Linked DNA regions of Mytilus edulis. The protein of the gene in region 1 interacts with the protein of each later gene in a pairwise test. Links are inferred from orthologs where the notes say so. Each region holds a gene or a part of one and is shown in the gene's direction. Other genes may lie near its edges.

The links.
Region 2: the proteins of prefoldin subunit 5-like (region 1) and prefoldin subunit 6-like interact in a two-hybrid assay, tested with the Caenorhabditis elegans proteins (2 studies listed by BioGRID). The link is inferred for Mytilus edulis from reciprocal best matches to the Caenorhabditis elegans genes pfd-5 and pfd-6.

What each region holds. Positions count from the first base shown.
Region 1 is NC_092345.1:32,217,434-32,225,532, forward strand, and holds the start of prefoldin subunit 5-like, read left to right. Parts: upstream 1-5,088; 5' UTR 5,089-5,132; coding exon 5,133-5,207; intron 5,208-8,099. UniProt on the Caenorhabditis elegans protein: Binds specifically to cytosolic chaperonin (c-CPN) and transfers target proteins to it. Binds to nascent polypeptide chain and promotes folding in an environment in which there are many competing pathways for nonnative proteins.
Region 2 is NC_092345.1:388,753-396,790, reverse strand, and holds the start of prefoldin subunit 6-like, read left to right. Parts: upstream 1-4,993; 5' UTR 4,994-5,091; coding exon 5,092-5,152; intron 5,153-8,038. Other genes in the region: surfeit locus protein 1-like, read right to left, coding at 4,909-4,932. UniProt on the Caenorhabditis elegans protein: Binds specifically to cytosolic chaperonin (c-CPN) and transfers target proteins to it. Binds to nascent polypeptide chain and promotes folding in an environment in which there are many competing pathways for nonnative proteins.

The sequences.
Region 1 (8,099 bases):
ACTCTTTAAGTTGAAATCTTTACAAGTGCAGTTATTTTTCATGCTATCGCTCTATAATATAAGATATTCGTAAAAATACCAATGTGCATAAATCCATATAGACATTTCACTTATGTTATTTAAATATTGTGAAAATCACACGTGAATGTTAGCGTGTGTGCACATTTCAGTCCAGCCTGGTCTATTTAACTTGAAAATCACCCAACCTGCAACTCGACTGAAGTTTTTTTTAGGGAAATAGGAATAACATGTATGTGTTTTAAAGACAAATTGATGAAAACTAGCTAGTAAGGAATGAAGAAAAACAGTTATCTCTGGTACACACTGGATGGAAAAAAGATATTTAACTTTATCTTGTTTTCATATTACCGGTATGTGTTCCTGTGGTTAAATGTAAAAATATTAAAAGAGCATTAGCTGTCAAATTCTTGTTCACCGATTTGACTCAAATTATAAAAAGTCTAACATAAATGATTTACAATGCATGGACTCGGTAATATCTATCAGCGTTTCGTGTGTTAGTAATTAAAGGTAATTAATCATCAAGGTGACCTCTGAAAACTTGCAAGTGCATAATAATCAAACTATGGGGTGTACGGCGATTGTTGGGCGTTCAGGCAGTTAGCTTCATCGTTTTTGTGCAATAGCTTATAAAACCATTAAAACAATGCTTATCAAAAATTAACATGTTGTTATTGATGAATAAAGAGGTCAAGCTCGATATTGATGATTTTTCACATTTGCCCTTCGATTAAGAGCGATGGTCTTCATTGATTGGAAAATGGCATTTATGTCGTTTGAAATCGTGTAATAAATGGCGAACCGTTTAACCGATATTTTTCAACTTTTTGTATGTTACAGCCGATTGCATTGGGTGTAGGTAAAGGAAATAATGACTTCACGGTTCAGCTAGCTAGCAAGCAAGCTAAGCAAAGATATTTCCTTTACCTACCTACTCAATGCAATCGGCTGTAATTGTTGCAAATTATTTTTTTTCAATTTGGAAATTGCTGCCCGAAAAGTTTAACATCTGTCTCTCCGGAGTATTGGGAGTATTTGATAATATGAATATAGCACTGCATGTGATTATTGTTTCCGTGCAATAAGATGAGAACTTTTCAACTATTGTTTTCTTCTTCATCAAATTTTATATGACTTTTGTTATTACTGTTGTCAAAATAAAAGCAATTTTCAATTTTGTCGTTCAGGCCATGATTTAGGACCCTTAGAGCCTTTAACAATGACACTTATAATGGTAATAAGATAACTCGGTTTGTTGTCATTTTAACAGCCTCTTGAAGTTAATTTTGTAAGTTTATGGTCAATAAATATGTAAAAGTTGATAAAGCCAACAAAACTCATAATTCCACAATTTAAGTTTGGTAGTGGTTTTATGGAGAATAACGCTTTAAATTTTTCTTACATAAGAAACCTACTTTAACTTTATCTCCACCAAATATTTGCGCGGCCGACGAAAGTCAAGAACTCTGTAAGTGCTCGTCTTTATACTGAAATTAAACTTAATGTTGGTTGCTTCAATGATTGAATTATTCAAAGCTTAGTGACTATGCAGAGCGCATCTATCCGATCAACTCGAAATAAAGGATACAACAGGATATACCCCATATATCATTGATTTTATTTTTGCTGGTCATATCTGAAAAGGTTTATTAAATAAGACAAAATAATAAGATGTAATTTTATTATTTTACAGTTGCGTAATGTTCAGCGGCAAATGTTTCGTGCGATCATTGAATCTACGGCACAGAACAACTGCAACGCTATTACTTGCATCAAACTATGATGCTGTCTACTGAAGTTTAGGATGCATAAAACTAGTCGTTCTATCAGATTTATAAATTTTCATGATGAGATCTGCAATTGTTAAAGTAAACACCGACAAGTTCGACTAAGGTTGTGGACAGCACAGCACTACATACATAGACACAAGTCAGGTCATCCAAAAATGACAACTGCTTCATGCGAATCAGATACGAATCGCTACCACACACACGTGCTAAAGAAATTAAGTGTGTAGTCATTGGGTACAAGACTCAGATACAGGCATTATATCTGGGTACTTTAAGATGGATACGTTTTGGATACTGTGGTTTATTTAGTTTAGTTTAATTTAAATAAAATGTTATTCAAATAAATTGAATTGGTTTGTTTGCATAACATATTGTTTAAATTAAACTAAACTAATAAGTAACTGTAAAATGATTATTTTGTCTGACACTGTATTAAATGTGGATACTTTATGGATACTGTTAGTTGGATACTTTCTGGATACTGTTAGTTGAATACTTTCTGGATACTGTTAGTTGGATACTTTCTGGATACTGTTAGTTGGATACTTTCTGGATACTGTTAGTTGGATACTTTCTAGATACTGTAAGGTGGACTTTTTAAATACTGTAAAGTGTCTACTTTCTGAATACTTTCTAGATACTGTAAGGTAGATTCTTTCTAGATACTTTCTGGATTCTGTAAGGTGGATGCTTTCTGGACTCTGTAAGGTGGATACTTTTTGATACTGTAATTTAAGGTGGATACTTTTTAATACTGTAATGTGGATACTTTGTAGGGACTGTAAGGTGGATACTTTCTAGATACTGTAGGGTTGACACTTTCTGGATACTGTAGGGATGACACTTTCTGGATATTGTAAGGTTGACACTTTCTAGATACTGTAAGGTTGACACTTTCTATATATTGTAAGGTTGACACTTTCTAGATACTGTAAGGTTGACACTTTCTAGGTACTGTAAGGTGGATATTTTCGCGAAGTCATGATTTCTTTTCATAAATGGTTGGCTTTGAGCGTTCCTGATGAAAGTAAATCCAGAAAAGCGGTGTTTTGCTTTTGCGCCAATTAGTATTTCATTTGCGCCAAAAAAATCTTTCATTTGCGCCACAAACAATATTTCATTTGCCCCAAAATAAAACCTTTTGATTGCGCCAATATTACAGGTAAATACATATAAATAGCATAAAACATATATTTAAAAAAAGACTTTTGATAATAAAAGCTTTTGTTTGCAAAATTAAATATATTCCTCAGAAATCAGTCGACATTAAACCAAACAAGTATTGTTAAACCTTAATGAAACAGAGTTCTGTTATTAATAAACGTTATCATAACACCTACTATGAAATATGAAAGACAACAGTTTACACTGGAGTTAATCTAAGCATGAAACACTATTGTAAAGTTATACGTCTACCCTGGCACCAAACTTGTAAGCGACGGCCTTGATGTATTCATGTCTGGAAAGTTCCTCCTCTCAAGTGCATACCATATTGATAAAAAAGATAGACCGTTTTTTTTTCATGAACTGCAGTCCATTTCAATTGTTATACTGGTTTTGCAAGGTTTTATTTATTTGGGATCCCAATAAACGACTTGGTCTTCATTTTTCAGAACGTATGATCTGAAAAAAAGTGTGGTCATCAAATTTTACACACTTAATTCTCCGCCTGTTTTATGTCTAAATAGAAAATGTCCATTTTGACACCTCGAACATGTGAACACTATATACAATTGTACACCTTAGTGACTCTCAACTTCAGAATTGAGTGTGGCATTGAACTCATCCCGTTATCCAGAGAAATACTGTAAAGACAAACCTTTTAGAGCAATGAATATTTAACGTTTCCGTTATTGCTTGCCCGAATTACCTGAAAATGGCGCAAATGAGGTTTTTATTTTTTGGCGCAAATGAAATATAACCTTGTGGCGCAAATGAAAGATTGTCATTTTCAAAAATTGGCGCAAATGCAATGCACCCCCAGAAAAGCGTCTGACTCATGAAATTATTAAACTTGTTATTTTCAACTTTGTAAACCAGTACTAGCTATAGTATATAAGCGATGTGCCACCAGTATATACCGCTTTTATGTCTAAATGAAACACTTAGAGGTTTAGCTAGCTATAAAACCAGGTTCAATCCACCATTTTCTATATTTGAAAATGGCATCCGTTTGAAAATGCCTGTACCAAGTCAGGAATATGACAGTTCTTGTCCATTCGTTTTTGATGCGTTTTGTTATTTGATTTTGCCATGTGATTATGGACTTTCCGAATTGATTTTCCTCTGAGTTCAGTATTTTTGTAGTTTTACTTTTTAAACTCAAAACAACTTTATAGACTACTGCATGAGTTCATACTAAATTTCTCAGTTTTATATGAAATGTATTTTTGATACGAAATAACCATTGGTCATCTACTTGTGTACACAAACGATAAAATGTATTTTAAATACTGTATACAGCTTGATTGAAACTACGCCTATAAATATATTGTCTTAATTTTTTTTCTGTCATTTTCTAATGGTTTATTTGACATTTATAGCTTTATCATTTTTTGGGAAAATGGAATCGAATAAAGTGTTGATGGCAGTTTTTCTGTTTAATTCAAACTTATATATACTGGATGTTGCCAACTAGATTTCTCTTGATTATTTTCATCTTTGGTTTGCTATAAATTTACTAACGGCAAAGATGACAAAAGAATTGATAAGACTGAAACATGTCAAAGTGGCTTGGTTCTTCATGGTGCCAAGAAATATATCCTTTACATTATTAAAATTTAGTAAATCTTTACTACACTCAAGGATTTGTATAATAACACTATACAAATCCTTGCTACACTGAAAAATAACTATATGTAATAAAAAGTAAATATTTCGAGACCTAATTTCTCTTATATATATTAAAAAATTATCAACAAATTGTTTGTGACTTTCTGTCCGTTTACCTTGGATAATAATGGGCCATTCTAATATTTAACCTAGTTATAGTTCAGAGACATTTTATTATTTTTAAGCCTTACACAACGAAATCGAGAACGAAATATAAAGCGCTGCATGATAACACTAAATTATACAAATGTAATGTACTTTTAAATAATTCCATAGAAATAATCCAAATCCAATCAAATCTTCCTTTTTGATTTGTTTTCCTTATTCAAAACAGAAATATAGTATTGTTGGATACGCCATGCAGTTCATAAGTGATCCTCCGTCTATCCATTTATTTTGGTCCGTTCCTATACTATATATATATTATATTTTTGTTTGGTCTTGAACTATTTCTGTCCACTTATTACTTCCCTTGGATAAAATACCGACATGGCGACACAACAAATCGACATCGCCCAGTTGCCAATTGAACAACTTAACCAATTGGCTAAACAATTAGACCAGGTTCAAACTTAGCATTACTAAAGTTTCACATTTATGTAACCCGCACACCAAAATTCGAAATAGAAATTACAATAGAATAAGCTTTTTGATCATTGTCATCGACATCGTGCTATTACATGAAATATTTTAAATAATTATATATAATCCTTTTCAGAATTCTATCGGGACCGATTTCCCATTTAACTGACCACATATTACATTATCAAGCCCATGGATCTCCTGTAGTTGGTGATCGCAATACTGGTATAAAAATTTTGTACCAGTATTGTCACTTTTAAAAAAACCCAGCAATACTGGTACATTACTGATGTACCAGTATTACCTGTAAGATACCTGTAAGATCGTTGTGGGGCTCATATGGAAGGATCCTATCCTTTTTAGCCCACCCTATTTTGGTACACTTTCAAAACTGATACAATCATCAATCCTGCATGATTTGGTGCAATATTTCACACAATTCTCAGATCCGGACATCCTGGCATTTAAATTTTTCAAGGGGTGATGCAGATAGGATTCCTCTAGATTTTTCATCTATTTGAAGGTGTTAACTGATTATTTATATTGTTGATTATTTTTTAACCAAAGGATATAGTATGATAAAAATCAAAATGGAGATATTATATAGTGTCTTTAACAATATTAAGTGGGTAAAATTACTAGATTCAACTGGTGTCAATATATATCAGTTAAATTAATTACATTGAAGTGTATGGAAAATCTAGAGGATTCTTATCCGCATCACCTCTCAGCATTGTTTATGTAACACATATATGCTAATCATTGATTGGTCAGTTACATGTTGTGATGTCACTGCAGATCTGAGAATTAAAAAGTTATATAGAAAACTATTTGTGTCCTCATCAATTTCTTAACTGATACATGACTGACTCCCAATGACAGTCTATACTAATTTTAAAGGCTTCCACAGTTTTTGATGAAATAACTTCAACTGGTAGGTTATTCCAATCATTAATAATTCGTTGTGAGAAATGTCTTAATCGAAAAGAAGTGTTACATCAAGGTTTTGCTAATTTCCAATTATGCCCACGGGTATTTGTACTGATGACAGTAAAAAATCTTTCATAAGATATATCTTCGAATCCTTTTAATATTTTGAAAGCTTGTATCATATCACCTCTTCGCCTTCTGTGAGTTAGGGAAGGTAGTTTAAGTACTTTTAATCTGTCTTCATAGCTTAAATGTCGTATATCAGGAATTAATTTAGTTGCTCTCATCTGCACTTTTTCTACAGCATTAATATCTTTCTTTAAATGCGGATACCATATTGTATTTCCGTATTCCACGTGTGGTCGTACCAACGCAACGTATAGTCTTAAAAATGTATATTGATCTTTAAAGATAAAAGTTCGGTTAATTAGCCCAAGTATACTATTGGCTTTATTTATTTTACTTGATATATGTTGAGTTGTATTATTGTAGTTGTATTATTGACTATACTTAAAGATTTAAAATGAAAAATGAATTTTGAAGCAAAATTGGATATTGAAGATCAAAGGGAGGTTAAATGAACTTGAAAAGATTGTAGAGGATAATCGTGAAATCTATTAACAACCAATTAAAATTAATTAAAATATATACTTGTACAAATAAACAAAGGATTATTGTTATTAACTCATATTATTCAAATAATTGTTAATTATAATATAAATATTTGCTAAAAAATTTATGATATTTCTATAATTTATTTAATTCAATTTAGATAGAAAATAAAAAATAAAAGCTTATTATCAGAGTTATTATTTTTAATAAATTCAAGCAAATAATTACACTTTAAGGTTCTCATTACTTGACGTTCAATTGAAAATGAAAGTAATAATCTTATTATTCATTTTATGTATTAAAAGACAAAATAAATCAAAGAACTATTTCATGTGGAAGTTTATAAAATGAATGTAGAAAAGGCTTGAATTGATGGGTCTCTGTGAAAATTGTCCAAACATGAGTAATTAAGGCCACAATAAAAAATATTTCAGTTTGCCCAAACCCGACAAATGATGACTGGGAGTGGGTAGGTAGGTAGGCAAATTCCTTTTTTTTTATCAGAATTTGCATGAAAATGTTAAAACAGTACAAATTCAATGTATATCTTTTTTTCCGTCAAACAATCAAAAACCAGAATTTAACACCTCTATAAATTAGTCTACTATATAGAATTAAATCACTCAACAATAAACTGAACTTTATTTATAATGTGTAGACTTAAACACAACATATAAACGTTAACACTGAGACTAAAATAAAAAATCAACATTTTTGTCCATATACTGAGACTTAGAATAAAAAATCAACATTTGAAAGGTATTTTTTTTTTTACAGTAAAAGTAGCAAACTTAAGTTTATTGTCAAATTCCTATACAACCTCAATAGGTTCACTCATGTCAGGCCCGAAAGTTTGTAGCCACTGTTGTTGGATACAGTAACAACTACGTCATCAGTTTTCTGCATGTCCATCTCATCAGGATCGGCATCCTCATCAAAAACATCATTCCAGGTTTTCCTTTTGTTAAAGCGGTGAAGCCTTTTAGACACAATAGTCTTTATTTTTTGGTTAATTTTAAGAAGTACAGACGACGACAGCGTAAAAAAACTGCCATGACACATGTTTTGCTTCTTTACTTAAATGTACGTTCATTAAATCAGAAGATAAATACCCAGAACATTGAATATCGATTAACTGCGTCTTTTACACGCTTTCTTTTAATCTTAGTCACAGTTACTTTCAAACGCAAAGACGACGATCATTAAGTTTTATACGATGACGGAGTGGACACCAAAAAATCTGAAGAAAAGAAAAAAAACGGCAAAAAAAGAATTTGAGTCAGCGTTGTTTTTATTTTAAGACAGTCAGATTTGGGCAAACATACAATATTT
Region 2 (8,038 bases), about 32 Mb from region 1:
TTCAAGGTGTTTTTTTTCAGGAGAGTTTAAACAGCATTAAACCAACAATCCTGCAAAATGTTCAACTGTTAAAAAGTGCATACAAAATATCCACTACCTCATATATCATTGCAAGGATTTGTATAGTGAGAACTATAAAAATCCTTGATCATTGTATATATAACTAAAATACGCATTTAGTTAAGAGAAAAATATATATACATCAACCCCAAAAAATGTGAAATAATTAAGTAAATATTTCTGGACAACCCCTTCCTTATTTTTACTGTTTTTGCTTAAATTACTGTTAAAATATGTATATTAAACAAATCTATAAACATGGGTGCCGAATTGACTATATAAAGTGCCGATTTAACCAGGTGCCAATTTGACTAGGTGCCGATTTGACTATACTGAGTGCCGATTTGACCGGGTACCGATTTAACCAGGTGCCGATTTGACTAGAATTCAATACAACTGACAATGACTGATCACCCAGCTGAATATGCTCTAAATAAAAACAAAGCAATTAGTCAAAAACTTGATGCCTCAAATCGAACATTCTCAGTAGTCCCTAAATTTAGTCCTGGTAACTTAGTGCTTACATTCACTGCCGGTGCCTATGAGGAATTTAAAATCGTGACCTTGAGTGTGCTTCAGGGTGAGGGGCTCTCAATAAGAAGGACTAATACGACCGACGTAAATAAAGCAGTAGTCTCTGAATCTGTCGTTGTCAATGATGCACAGAACAAACTCTATGTATCTGATGTATTAAACTTTTACAATACCTCGTCAAAAGTAGTTTTGAATGGTAATCAGCTACATATGTCAGTTTATATTTCGTCAACCCTACCTGATATCTTGAATGTATTAGACCATAACAAGGATTTCATAACAATTAACAGTAAAATCAGACAATGCTGCACTGCATATCTTAACTCAAATCAGACTAGTTGCACTCGACCAACTGACATTAATACTAGTATTCAACAAGATCAGTGTCAACATTCTAAACTAAATAGTGCTTCCGCATCTTTAAAGTCACTAATAAATGCTTCTGATCAACAACAAAATGACTACTGTCCTATATGTGAAAATCTTTGTAGTTCTGACAATAAGGCTGTTGAATGTGAAATCTGTAATAAATGGCTTCATTATAAATGTGAAAATCTTACTGTTAACATGGTTAAGGAGGTTGATGAGATAGAGAATGATCTTACACTTCAATATAATTGTAACAGCTGCAAAACTTTAAAATCATTGCAATCAGATCTACTTGTTTCTCATTTAAAACATGCTCCGTAAAACACTGGTATTCAACCAACCACAAGTATACGGTCACGTTCAGAAAATAGCAATCCTTCTACAAACTTGAGTCACCCCACAGTTCTGTGCTCCACTCCGCCACATTTAACTAACTGTAACATACATGTATACCTATTCCTTTAACCATCAGTGCCATTCCAATGACAACATGTAATAACACTAACATTTTAGAAGAGGAAATAAAATATTTAAAATCTCAACTTGGACTAAAAGATAAGCAACTTAAAACCAAAGAATTGCTCATTTGTAAACAAGATTCCGAAAAAAAATTAATGAAAAAAGAATTGGCTACTGACAGAGCCCTCACTATTAAATTAGAGCAAGATGAAAAGGATCTTGAACATTCCTTATTGATAAAACAACAAAACCCTAGCAATACAGTACATGAACCATCTGCGTCGAGAAGATAATTCTAGATCATATGCCATGGAACAACGTGTGTGTTCATAAGAATTTGAAATACTTAAACAAGACAATAAAATTTCAAATTTAGCTGATAAATTCATCGACTTTAAAATAGAGAATGGACGTAAACAACCGAGAACACGAAAGAACAAACAAAATGTGACCAATAATCAAACTGCTGACTAGTTTAAGTATGAGAAACCTTCAAATGACTCTTGTACTAACATTTTATTTGATTCTGAGCTTGAAATGCATGATGACGAGGTAGGAGATGAACAATCTCCTGTTCATAGTATACATGGTATATCATATACTGAACAGTACCCTTTTTTAGGCTAAGTTCGTGCGCCGAAAAGACACCTGCCACATATGAATTATTCTCCACCAAAGAAACCAATGTACATGTACCACCCTCCTCCAACAAGACAGAGAATTCCGAATCATGTCCGTCAACCAAATGTCCATCGACAATACCAAGTGATCCCGAGATTTCAGAACCAGAGTCCACAATTTCACCCTCGATTCAGTCTAGAATTTAACATCACATTTGTTAAACAGTCAGGGGACTTACTTAAATAAGTGATTTTCTAAATCACTGATTCAAGTAACATTATTTCCATAAAGGTTGGAAGTTAGAGTTGTCTTTCTTTAATAATCACCTATTTAAGTAGTACAAATTAATCACTAGAAGAAGTGATTTAATTTTACTGTAGCTTTAAATATAGAATACTAATGACCCAGGGACTAATTATGTTTCTAAACTTATCAGAACCAACATCTGTGTTGTCTAGGATGACCAGGTCATTTCAGGTGATGACCTTGTACTGAATCTAGGATAATGACATAAAAATCACTTGTTTAAGTATCAGACCTCAATTTCCTTCCCAAAAATCACTTCTTTAAGTATCATTCTTTTAATTTATAACCCCCACTAATTTCAACACCCCCGAACAGTGAAATTTTTATCGCGAACAGTAGAATTTTATTACATAATCTGAAAGATGAAACCTTGAACTTCACAAGAAAAATACTGCCACTGCTGGAAAAAATCTTTTAAGAAAGTATCAGTTCATTATGTAAAGCCATTATTATAGCATTTTTTCAACTAAAATAGAATTTAGCATCAAAGGCATAAACCTTGCTACTTAAAAGAAGCAAAAAGTTCATTTTTTTAAATTTTACTAATTAAAAGATATTATTTAAACCTATGTGTTTAAAATTTTGAAAAAACTACAAAATCCAAATTTGTGACAAAACCTCGAATTTGCTACTCAAATAAGTGATTTTAAAATCACTTATTTCAGTAAGTCCCCTGACTGTTAAATATTTTATCTTTTAACATTGAAGGCCTGACCTCTAATTTAGCGTATCTTTATAAACTTATTAAAAGATCTGATATTATTTTACTTCAAGAGCACTGGCTCTATAGCCATGAGAAGGATAATTTGTATAATAATTTTACTGATTTTAACTGTCACATAAAATGTTTTGACGATGGAATTATTGATGATGTAGTTGACAGAAAACGCACACATGCTGGGGTCGCAATTTGCGTAAATAATATATAATCCATATTTGGAGAAACTCCCTGATGGAAATAATAGAATTGCCGCAATATGTTTGAACTTTGATGTACCTCTGGAATTCAGCGGAAATCCACAAAAGAATTCTTGGTATCTTTAAAAACAGTATTGATAATGATAACTCTGTCGAACGTGACTTAGCATTCCGTCAACTTGCAATGAAATCCAAGTCATGAAACAGTTGGTTTCGTAAAATAGTAACTATCACAGAATTATATGATCTACCGTCACCTCATGATCTACTTGTCAGCCCTCCTTCAAAGTCTAAATGGAAAAAAACTGGTTAACTCCTCTGTAAGCTACTACTGGATAATTAAACTAAAATCTGATGTGTCAAAAAAATGATCTTTAAATCTTTCAAACTATGACATGTATGATGATGCAGAATTTGGAAGCATTCATCCTATTTGGAATACTTGTGGATCTGAACCTTACTCTACGTTACGTGCCTGCATCAAATCCAAATTAGTGTGTAATACATACTCTTCAATGCGACAATTCTAAATTTAGTAAACGACAAGTCAGTGCAATTTGTCCGTTATGTGGAACTGAGGAAGAGAACCGGGTACATTTTGTTTTGAGATGCAGTAAATTAAATAATGCGAGAAACAGCTTTATACAGAGTCTAAAAACTTTTATAAAAGATGTTGTATCAACTAAACTTTACGATGAACTAATTTGTTCCGAAATTAACACTTTCATGACTTTACAGTTAATTATTCACTAGAGGACTTAGCTGCGAAAAAGTAGCTCTATAATTGTCCTTTGATTTTTTTTTTGCCATATCAAAACCTTTAAAAAAGAATTTGTAACTATTTTTCAATTTAAAAGTCCGCAAATATCAAAAATCATCAAAAGGATCTTAAGAGCTACGTTTTCGCAGCTATAGAGAACTATGCCAACAGGCCTTAAGATTGAGGATTGAGGCAGGTGGATCGACTTTATTGAGGTAGTACTAATGAATCAATATCAATCAGCTTTATAATGAAAAAGTGCTCAACTGTGACAATTGTTAATTTGAAATGGGGCAACAAACATTTTGAAGTCCATTGACTTTCCCTCCAGTTTCTGATATGTATATTCATGGGATGTACTTATTCTCCTGAGTAAATAGAGGTGGTGGTTAATGTGTATAAACAAACAATATTAGTGCATTGGATTAAATGACAATTTAAATGATATTCACACTGAAAAGTGGGTCGTCTGATATAGGCGGAACAGTACAGACTAAAGTAAAGTAAGTAAGGCAGCAACCATTTGATTTTCTGGGGGGGGCTATGGTTTTTTTTTCTGGACAAACTTTTTTTTTTCGCCTACGGCGAAAAACAATCTATTTTTTTCGCGACAAGTCGAAAACAATTTTTTTTTCTTTCAATTTTAGCATTACATATAGTGGCAGCTGAGGGTGAAACAAACTTTTTTTTCCAAAAAAAAACCATAGCCCCCCCCCCCCCCCCCCCCCCTAAAGTAAAGTAACTCATAGTCTGACATACATGCATACCACATCTTATTATTTTGAAATATATGACAACTATTGCAAATGATATTTTAATGAAAAATATTATTTGCCTTGACACACAGTTTGAAGTTATTCAAATAAACATAATTGTTTAACCTTTCTTATGCCTGATGAATTCATTTTGTCAGTCAAATATTAGCAGCTCTCATTGAAGAAGGTGAGTTTTATAATGTTAAAAGTAAAAGTAGAAGTAGCAATGCAACGTTTAATTGGATTGGACAAGTGCTCTGAAATTGACCAATCAAAATTAGTTTGCCAGAAAATCTCTTCTGTTTCAATATGGCCGAACTTCAGAAACGATTGCAGAGCGATATAGAAAAATATGACGCATTCCAGAAAGGTAAAACTAATTACAAATTATCTTGATGACGATAAAAAGTGTGAACAACACACTGAGATAATTTGATAAATGTCCATCTCTATCGTTTTATACGTCCAGCTATGTCATAGTGTCAGTGAAGTCATGTTTTTATATCCATGGTCACAGACACACATGTTTATAATAATTTGAAAGGTAAACTATTCTTATATAATAGATCGACGTCGCCTAGTGCCTGGAATCTGGGTCCGTTCGCGCCCATTCACTTTCGCACACGATCACGTTCGCGCCCTTTCACTTTCGCACCCTACACGTTCGCGCCCAAGTTTTATTGGTTTTGTGTTTGATAACTTTATAACCAAGTTTTGGCAAGTGTATTCATATTAGTATATTTGTTTTCATTGTCTCAAAATAAAGTGAGACAACGTGTTTTTTGTGTTGAATAAATCTTAATCATAATTTGCCGGATAGTGTATTGTTAAAATATTTTTAATCATTTAAATAAAGTGAGATTCTGACGACCGGGATTTTCGGGTGGAATAAATCTTAAATATTAATCAATTTTGGTTAGTGTATTGCTATAATTTTTTTATCTATAAATTGTTTCAGGTGCGAACATGTAGGATGCGAAAAGTGTATTGGGCGCGAACAGACCTGATACCTAGTGCCTGTGTCCATGATCACCATGCAATGGAATTCGTGGAAACAAGAGGTTTCGGTCTTTGTCGTTTCGTCCATGTGCTAGTCCCATTTATTTATTAATACCATTTATTTATTAATATGAGGTCTTGAAAGAAGTTCTGGATTGGGGTCCTTCAATTCTACATTCTTTACTGTTTTTGAAAAAATTTCGGTATTCTTTAAAAAATTTGCCCATCATTCTTCCTTCTAGTCCGAATAGTTATGAAGTCTGGCGAGGCTATATTAATTTTTTTCTGGGACGCCTTCCTTTGAAAAATTTAAAGATAAGATAGCCTTGCCAGACGTCATAATTATTTGGACTATCTCTCTTCTAAATATTTTATATGATGACGTATACACTATTCTTTAATATTTTAGTCTATTTTTCTCTATTTACTTTTTTTCTCTTTATTTTAAACTTTTTGCCCATTATTCACTCTTCTTTGCCTCTTGTTCATGTTGTTACGCTTTTTCTTCGAAGATGTCCCACAAAAAAATTAAAATAGCCTTTCAAGATCAATTATATAGATAGCAATGTATTACATAAATGTATTAAAGTAGTTAAAGGTAAAACTTTTTATAAAATTCTACTTCTGTCATGTCTGTACAGGATAATGGCCACAATCAACTAACTGAATATTTTGCCATGACTTCTGTGCACATACAGACCCCTCCCCACACTGTTTTTTAAATTAGTTCAGCTTTGGCACCTAGGCTTTGAAAGCCTCAACTGTCAAATTATGCTCATGATGCTGATAAAGATACATATACACTAGAATACACCCGTGATATCGCGGGTCCGTGACTGAATTAAAGTATATAACTATGCGTAAGCCTTATTTTAATATTGGGATTGTCATCTGATAAAGTCATGCCGATTATAAGACGCACAGTTTTCTCTGCTTTCAAAATTTTTCTGTTTGAACACGTCGACCTGGAACTTATCAATTATTGGTAATATTAATTATTTGGAAAACAAAAGGTCCTGGAATGGAGTATTTTTTAATCAACAGCATTGTCCTATATAAATAAAGGCAACAGTAGTATACCGCTGTTCAAAACTCATAAATCCATGGACAAAAAACAAAATCGGGATAACAAACTAAAACCGAGGGAAACGCATTAAATATAAGAGGAGAACAACGACATAACACTAAAATGTAACACACATAGACAAAATCCCACGAGAATAACAAATATAACATATATACATGTATATAACATCAAAACCAAATACATGAATTTGGGATAGACAAGTACCGTGACACGTCTTATCGCAATGTGAATTTACACTCAAAAATGAGAGAAAGCAACCGACACAACGTTATAATGTAATACACACAGAAACGAACTATAATATAACAATGACCATATTCCTGACTTGGTACAGGGCATTTTTAAAGGAAAAAATGGTGGGTTGAACCTGGTTTTGTGGCATGCCAAACCTCACACTTTTATGGCCATGTAAAATATAACATCAAAATGACAACACAGGACTACAATATAAATAAATTGGAGAACACAATTGACAAAGAATCACACGAACAACAGCCAACAAAAGGCAACAAGTTCAAAATTTTAATACGCCAGAAGTGTATTTTGTCCACACAAGACCTATGTGTGACGCACAGATACAAAAGTTTGAAAGCCGAAACGAGTACAAAGTTGAACAGCATCGAGGACCAAAAGATCAAAAAGGTTGTGCCAAAAACGGCAAGGGTTTTCTGTTAAGTTACCAGAAAATCCCTATAATTTAGAGTAATTTATACTTTTGCAAACAGTAAATTTAATAAAATGAATATTCAAAAAATGTACATGATAAAGCTGAAGTATTAACTAATTACAGGAAACAACTGAAATACATTTACATAACCAGACATTATAAGTTATGCATATATTGGGGATTTTGAATCTGTTCAAAGTTTTGATTTTTCTACCCTATATCATGTATATACCACTTTGCCTCATATTCTTATTAAGAAAAAATTCACATCCCATATTAACTAGGCATTTAAAAAGTCAGAATGCGAGTACATATGTTCAAACTCTTTTAGGTCATTTTTTAGTAGCAATTAACAAATTAAAAGAACTATGTCAATTGGACATGCTTTGATACTATATATGCCCTTGAATTTTTGCTTGATAACATTTTTGTTCGCTTTGGAGATTCCGTATATCGTCAAGTTATTGGAATTCCAATGGGGACTAACTGTGCACCTCTTATTG